Canis lupus familiaris: one gene and its partner. The protein of the gene in region 2 binds, or shares a complex with, the protein of the main gene of each other region. Links are inferred from orthologs where the notes say so. Each region holds a gene or a part of one and is shown on either strand. Other genes may lie near its edges.

Region 1 (3,652 bases), on a different chromosome or scaffold from region 2:
CGTCCACCTGTATTTCTTTTTCAATACAGTTTTGAGGGCAGCCTGGGTGGCTCAGTGGTTTAGTGCCGCCTTCAGCCCATGTCGTGATCCCGGGGTCCTGGGATCGAGTCCCACGTCAGGCTCTCTGCATGGAGCCTGCTTCTCCCTCTGCCTGTGTCTTTGCCTGCCCCCCCCCTCTCTCTCTCTGTCTCTCATGAATAAATAAATAAAATCTTAAAAAAAAAATCTAGTTTTGATACGACAGCTTTTCTTACACTTGAAATTGTGAGTTTTCCTCTCTTTCATCTCCCACTTCCAGAGATAGCAGATATTTCACTGGACATAGAAAATCTCAGATTACTAGAACTCAGAATGGCTGTGGAAACAGTGGTCATGTTGGAAATGTGGTTGAATTCCTCCTCCTGACCATGTATCCCTCCAGTAGCACTTTTTTTTTCCAGTAGCACATTTCTTATACTACGATCTTGGAACTGCTTTAGAACAGAGTTGGCAAATTTGTGGGCCAAATCCCTGTTTCTGTGAGATATATAAACTACGAATAATTTTTATATATATATATTTTTAATTTTTATAATTTTTATATTTTTAAAGGGTTTCTTTCTCTTTTTTTAGGGTTTCTTTATTTAAAAAAAGCTTGTAAAAGGCTTAAAAGTATTTACTGGCCTTTTGCAGATAATTTGACAATGTTTTCTCTAGTTTGAACAAAAACTGGACTTCTTATGGAGAACAACAACAGATGAGTACTATAGTTATGTGAGAGGTAGCTCATGGATGGCTTTGGGGTGTTAGTGATAGTAAGAATGTAAAAAAAAATTTTTTAAGAAAGCATTTTCATTTATTTGGACACTTAAATTTTTTTTTTTTTTTTAAGTGGGTTCCACACTGGGCAGACTAGAGCCCAGTGTAGGGCTTGAACTCCCGACCCTGAGATCAAGACCCAAGCTGAAGTCAGGAGTTGGACATCAACTGACTGAGCCACCCAGGCACCCCTAAGAATCCTTTTTTGGAATGCCTGCTTTGTACTAGACACAGGATAAGGTACTTGCCCATATGACTTTCATGTGGCCTTTGCAGATTTTTGTAGGAAGGTCTTATTGTCTGCGATTTACACATGATAAAACTAATTCTTAGAAAGGTTGACCAGATCTGACAGTAAATGGCAGAGCCAGAATTCTTGGACTTTCTGACTCTACATCCTCTATATCAGGTGGATAGGCAGGTTTGGTAGTTTTTTGCCCTGTTTGCTTCTGCTTAAACACTGGAATGAATGAAAACCAAACTAGGAGTCCACACCCCAGGGAGTCTTGTAACCTGTAAAGAAAACTTGAGGATTATGATCGTTTCATCTAGAGTTAGAGGTTTAGGGACCCCTGTGTGGTTCAGTCGGTTAAGGTCTGCCTTCAGTTCAGGTCATGATCTCGGGGTCCTGGGATTGAGCCCCACACCGGTCTGTGCTTAGTGGGGAGTCTGCTTCTTCCTCTCCCTCTGCTCTTCTTCCCTGCTCATGTTCCCCCCCACCTTGCTCTCACTTTCTCAAATAAATACATTTTTAAAATCTTTAAGAAAAAAAAAGTTTTAGGCTTTTTGAACCCTGAAGTGTCCCTATTCATGTGTATTTTAATGCATGGTAAGATGTACCATTGATGATAGCAGTAATGTCTAATGAATAAAGGCGTTTATTCAACAAATGAAATAGTGTGTTAATCCAAAGCTGCATAGTTGAAAATAGTCTCATTTAATTTATTAACCTAAACTTTCCAGTATATTTTTAGTCTTCAATTTATATATTTTTCTTAGGTACCTCAAATCAGAAAAATTGAAGTAAAAAGCTAGAAATAAAGTCCTTTTCTATTGTTTATTCCTATCTAGTTCATTAAGTATTCATTACTGTTTTTATTTTTATTCTTTTTAAAGATTTTTTATTTATTTATTCATAGACACAGAGAGAGAGGCAGAGACACAGGCAGAGGGAGAGAAGCAGGCTCCATGCAGAGAGCTTGACGTGTGACTCGATCCTGGGTTTCCAGGATCACGCCCTGGGCTGCAGGCAGCACTAAACCGCTGAGCTACCGAGGCTGCCCTCATTACTGTTTTTAAAGTTCTTATATTAATGCATTAACTGGAGTTTTTTTGGTTTTACAGGAATTCTTTTCAAAGAAGTCAGATTGTTCTTTATTTATGTTTGGCTCCCATAATAAGAAGCGGCCAAATAATCTAGTAATAGGTAAATATCATTTACTTTATAAATACTGTTATTTACAGCTTGTGACTCAGAATAATTGATGGTATTGCGGGTTCAGGAGTAACAAGTGAGTGCTAAGCTAGTTTTTTAACATTTCTTTGTGAAAATGTTTCCTTTTTTCTCTCTCTTTTTTTTTTCCTTCTTGTGACTTTGAATAAAATTTTTTATCTACCAGACTGCAGGTAAAGAATAGGCATGTAAATACTACTTCACCTAAATTTGCAGAAATTTTCCTAATATAAAACATATGTACCTCTTAAATCAGTGTTAGAGAAAAAAACAAAGTAGTACACCTAGCCATATAAATTAACCCTTCCCTGGTAAGTATTGACACTTGGTCTGGCATAGTCACTGGTGTAAGCAAGTCCCTTTCCCTCTGTGGGCCTTTATTTACTCATAAAATAAGGGAGTTTGGTTAAATGATTTTTAAGATTCTTTCAAGGCCAAGACTGCAACAATTTATTTATTCTAGATAGAATTGAAAGCTTAAGAAAGAGGGAACATATTTGGTGGGGCCTAAGAAGAAAAAAAGAGGCAGATTCTAACATTTTGAACATGCCAGTTTGAACATACCATTAAAGTTGGATGTTTGGGAAAAATAAATGCTAACAAGAAAATGTATTTTCCTTCGAGGTCGTATGTATGATTACCATGTGCTGGATATGATTGAATTAGGTATCGAGAAGTTTGTCTCTCTAAAAGATGTTAAGGTAAGATAGCATAAAAGTAAAAAGCATTTTGTAATATTGCTCTTGGGCAGTAGTGACATCTTGTGGTGAAGAGTACTGTTACAGTTGTGTAACTTAAATAAGAATACTATTTTTATTCTGTGCTCGGAGATTAAAAAAAAAAAAAGCGAGTTTCATTTTATCTTTTAAAATAAGGTCTGTTGGGACTCCTGGGTGGCTTAGTGGTTGAGCATCTGCCTTCAGCTTGGGGCATGATCCCAGGGTTCTGGGATTGACTCCCACATCGGGCTTCCCACAGGGAACCTGTTTCTTCCTCTGCCTGTGTCTCTGCCTCTCTCTGTGTGTCTCTCATGAATAAATAAATTTTAAAAAATATATATTTTTAAAATATATCTATATCTATATATAGAATATAATACATATGGGGATCTCTATATTTAAAATATATCTATATTTATCTATCTATATATATAGAATATAATACATATGGGGATCTCCTGACAGACTTCAGAGTGATTATTAACTCTTGTCTGGGCCCACAGTTTACATGCTATCCTCTCCCTCTGAATTGTCACAGAACCTATTTTATGGAATTTCAGAAATACCAGAGTTTTAAAAGTGAGCCCCGTTTGAAACCTAGGATACTTTAGCTGATCCTACAGTAAGGCTGCTGGCCACCAGAATGCTAGTTCAGTACTTAAGTTTTGCATCTTTGTGACTC
Region 2 (3,652 bases):
CCACTACCCTAGCACTGCCTCCCACCACTTGTTCTTTTTTTCTTTCTTTTTTTTTTTTTTAAGTAAGCTCTAGACCCAACATGGGGTTTGATCTCATGATCTTGAGATGAAGAGTCACATGCTGTACTGACTGGCCCAGCCCTACTACCACCTGTTTTTACCTCAGCTCCTGGGGTCGGCTGTCTCACAGTATCCAACCTTCTGGATTTGTCTGATTGCTTCCTTGTGGTGTGAAGCTTTGTTCCTTTATTCTCTGTGTTTTCTACAAACTGAAAGTTAGATCTAAAGGCTAGATTAGATTCAGAAATAGGTTAATCTTTTTAATAAAACTACTTCATAGGTGATACTGTGTGCCTCATAATTTATTACATCTTATTAACTCTAAATACTATTCTAGAGGTTATCTAGATTACTTAAATTTAGATAAGAAAATTAAGTAGGTAATGGACTTTCTAAGAGCCAGCTTGTTATTTACATCACAGCTGGAGTTTGAACTTGCTGTTCTTAACATTTCCACTCTCCCACCAATAATACCAGATGTGCCCATCACCCTTAAGACATAAAGGGTGAAGCAGAACAGCCAAAACAAAATAAGTTTACCCTTGAAAAGTTCCTTGCAGATTGGGAATGACCTGTTCATTAGCTAGCTAATCATAAAAGGATAGATGGGTGCTAAACATCATCACTGGGAAGCAGAATGAGATTTAATGTTTTTATTTTTAATTGTCCTAGCGTGTTTTTCATACAATTTTATTTTTTTATCTAATTTTAAAAGCATATTTTTTTTTTGGTTACAGCTATATATCTGCATTTTAACACCATGGAGAAAGCCTTTTTGAGGGAGATAGAGGGGAAATTTTAATTTCTAAAACCAACCTTTCATAAAACCAATCATCATTTATGTATTTTAATTTATATTATTTAGGAATGTAAACTCTAATATACTTAATTTATCTTGTTGATATTATACTTGGTGTATTTATAAATATATGTGAAGTCTTTAATTCTTTCAAAGTTTTAATTTGTCTCTGGCATTTCTAAATTTTAAGATACCATGCGTGAACGGTTGCCACATTTAAAGTTAGTATTTATTTTGGAAACTGATGTTAGAATACTGGACAATAACAGCATGTATTATTGACTCCAGACCATTGGATGCTTTCTGCTTGAGGTTGCCACCAAAGATCCCTCCCTTGTGGTGGCAGGAGAAGCCTTGGATGCCCTCTTCGATGTTTTTGCAGATGGTAAAGAAGCTGAAAGGGCCTCAGTTCAAATTAAATTGTTATCTGCTCTGAAAGAATTCCAGCCAGTCTTCAAAATGAAGGTATGTAGCTCTTTTGTGTAGAAATGCTTTGGTCTCACCATCCTCCAAGAAGGGAGTATATGCAGTTCCCTCCATACACTCCCAGTGATTCATAGAGTGCTTCATCCATGGAACTGAAGAATGCTTGTTGGCTGAGTCAGAGCTCAGGCCTTTGTGTTGAATCACTGTGACTTGGGCCAAAATGGTGTGGGCAGGGTTCCTTTTCTATAAGAGTTCAGTAATACTAACAGTGCTTATGGAGAAGCAGTCTAGTCTGTGACCTGCAAAGCACTTTCATGTACATACAAATTTTTTTTATATCATTATAGGTGATAAATTAGAACTTGATTTTAATGTTAGGAATAGTTCCCTTTGGTGCTCCATGCTGGTCTTTTTTTTTTTTTTTTTTTTTTCCATGCTGGTCTTTATCAAAGAATGTAGCTACCTTCATTTGCCCTTTTATTTATTTTTTGTTTCACTAGAAACATCAAAGCTAATTTTGAATCAAAAAGTAATTTTCAAGGGCACCTGGGTGGCTCAGTCAGTTAAGCATCTGCCTTTGGCTCAGTTCATGATCCCGGGATCCTGGGATCAAGCCCTGTGTGAGGCTCCCTGCTCAGTAGTGAGCCTGCTTCTTCCTCTCCCTCTGCCTTTTTCCCCTGCTTGTGCTCTCTTACTCTCTGTCAAATAAATACATTTATTTATTATTATTTTTTAAAGATTTATTTATTCATGATAGAGTGAGAGAGGCAAAGACACAGGCAGAGGGAGAAGCAGGCTCCCTGCAGGGAACTCAATGCAGTACTCGATCCGGGGACTCCGGGATCACGCTCTGGAGTGAAGGCAGGCGCCAAGCCGTTGAGCCACCCAGGCATCATTTACTTTTAAATCTTTGTCAAGAGGGATCTCGGGCAGCCCGGGTGGCTCAGTGGTTTAGTGCCACATTCAGCCCAGGGCCTGATCCTAGAGACCCAGGATCGAGTCCCATGTCGGGCTCCCTGCATGGAGCCTGCTTCTCCCTCTGCCTGTGTCTCTGCTTCTCTCTCTCTCTTTCTTTCTCTCTCTCATGAATAAATAAAATCTTTAAAAAAAAATAAATCTTTGTCAAGAAAATAGAAGTTTGGATGAGAAATTAGCTTACTTCTGTTGTTTTCCAGTATGTATTTGTTTTGTTAAATTTTTTTTGAGAATGAGAGTAGGAGAAGCAGAGGGAGAGGGACAAGCAGACTCTATGCTGAGTTTGGAGCCAGATGCGGGGTGATCTCATGACCCTGAGATTATGACCTGAGCTGAAACCAGCAGTCAGAAGCTTAACTGACTGAGCTACCCAGGTGCCCCCAATGTGTATTGCTTTCTTCTAACAAGCTTCTAATACAGAATTGATTGCTCAAGGAGAGAACTCTGTGATGACTTTTTAGGAGACTATGATTGTATGTCTAGTAATTTCAATTTTCTGAAGTTTTTTAAGGCATAAGAACTAGTTTTCTTTAGAAAACTAGCAACACACACCATGTACATTCTAAATTGTAGGCCCGTCTAAAGTCAGTGTTGATTTAAGGACAGCAGTGTTGGTTTGTTTTTAACATTTTCATATTTTGCTATCTTATATTTAAAAATGTCATCTTAGTGGCTGACATTTATTGAGTTAAGTTTCACCAATAGGTAACTTAAGTCTGGGGAAAAAACTTCAACAGTTTACCTTAATTACAGTTTGTTCAAACCTATAGGTTTTTTTTTGTTTTTTGTTTAATTGAAATACAATTGATGTATAACATTGTATTAGTTTTAGGTGTATAGCTTAATGGTTTGATACATGTACATGTTGGGAAATAATTCCCAGAAAAAGTTTAGTTAAATCCATCACCACACATAGGAGGACATTTTTTTTCTTGCGATGAGAACTTTTCAGGTCTACTCCTAGTAACTTCCAAATTTACAATCAGTCGCCATGCTGAACGTTACATCCCTGTGACTTACTTAGCTTATAATTGGAAGTTTGTGCCTTTTTTTTTTTTTTTTTTGGAAGTTTTGGAAGTTTGTGCCTTTTGACCCTCTTCACCCATGTTTGTCTATTTTTTAAGCAGTGAGAGGTTTTACTGTTTATCATCAGTAAACAAATTGAGTGATATCTCTCCATGTAAAGGCAGATGTGCATTAGTATTTTACCCCCTTTCTTTTCCAAAAGGTAGCCTAATATATTCACAACCCTGCACTTTGTGTTTTCTCTTAACACGATCTCCTAGATGTATTTCCATACCAGTACATGGTGGGCATCCACAGGGTTCTTAAAGGGTGCAGGCAGGCCCTTGAAACATCTGAAAAAGAGTCCACGTGGTAAGAAGAAAATAT

What was found. Proteins that work in one complex are often made in the same cells at the same time.
Region 1: HEATR3 (region 2) and RPF2 share a complex: the UniProt entries of both Homo sapiens proteins name them as parts of the hexameric 5S RNP precursor complex. The link is inferred for Canis lupus familiaris from reciprocal best matches to the Homo sapiens genes HEATR3 and RPF2.

Annotation. Positions count from the first base shown.
Region 1 is NC_049233.1:67,883,987-67,887,638, forward strand, and holds part of RPF2 (ribosome production factor 2 homolog), read left to right. Parts: intron 1-2,142; coding exon 2,143-2,224; intron 2,225-2,875; coding exon 2,876-2,952; intron 2,953-3,652. UniProt on the Homo sapiens protein: Involved in ribosomal large subunit assembly. May regulate the localization of the 5S RNP/5S ribonucleoprotein particle to the nucleolus.
Region 2 is NC_049223.1:64,457,079-64,460,730, reverse strand, and holds part of HEATR3 (HEAT repeat-containing protein 3), read left to right. Parts: intron 1-1,147; coding exon 1,148-1,324; intron 1,325-3,652. UniProt on the Homo sapiens protein: Plays a role in ribosome biogenesis and in nuclear import of the 60S ribosomal protein L5/large ribosomal subunit protein uL18 (RPL5). Required for proper erythrocyte maturation.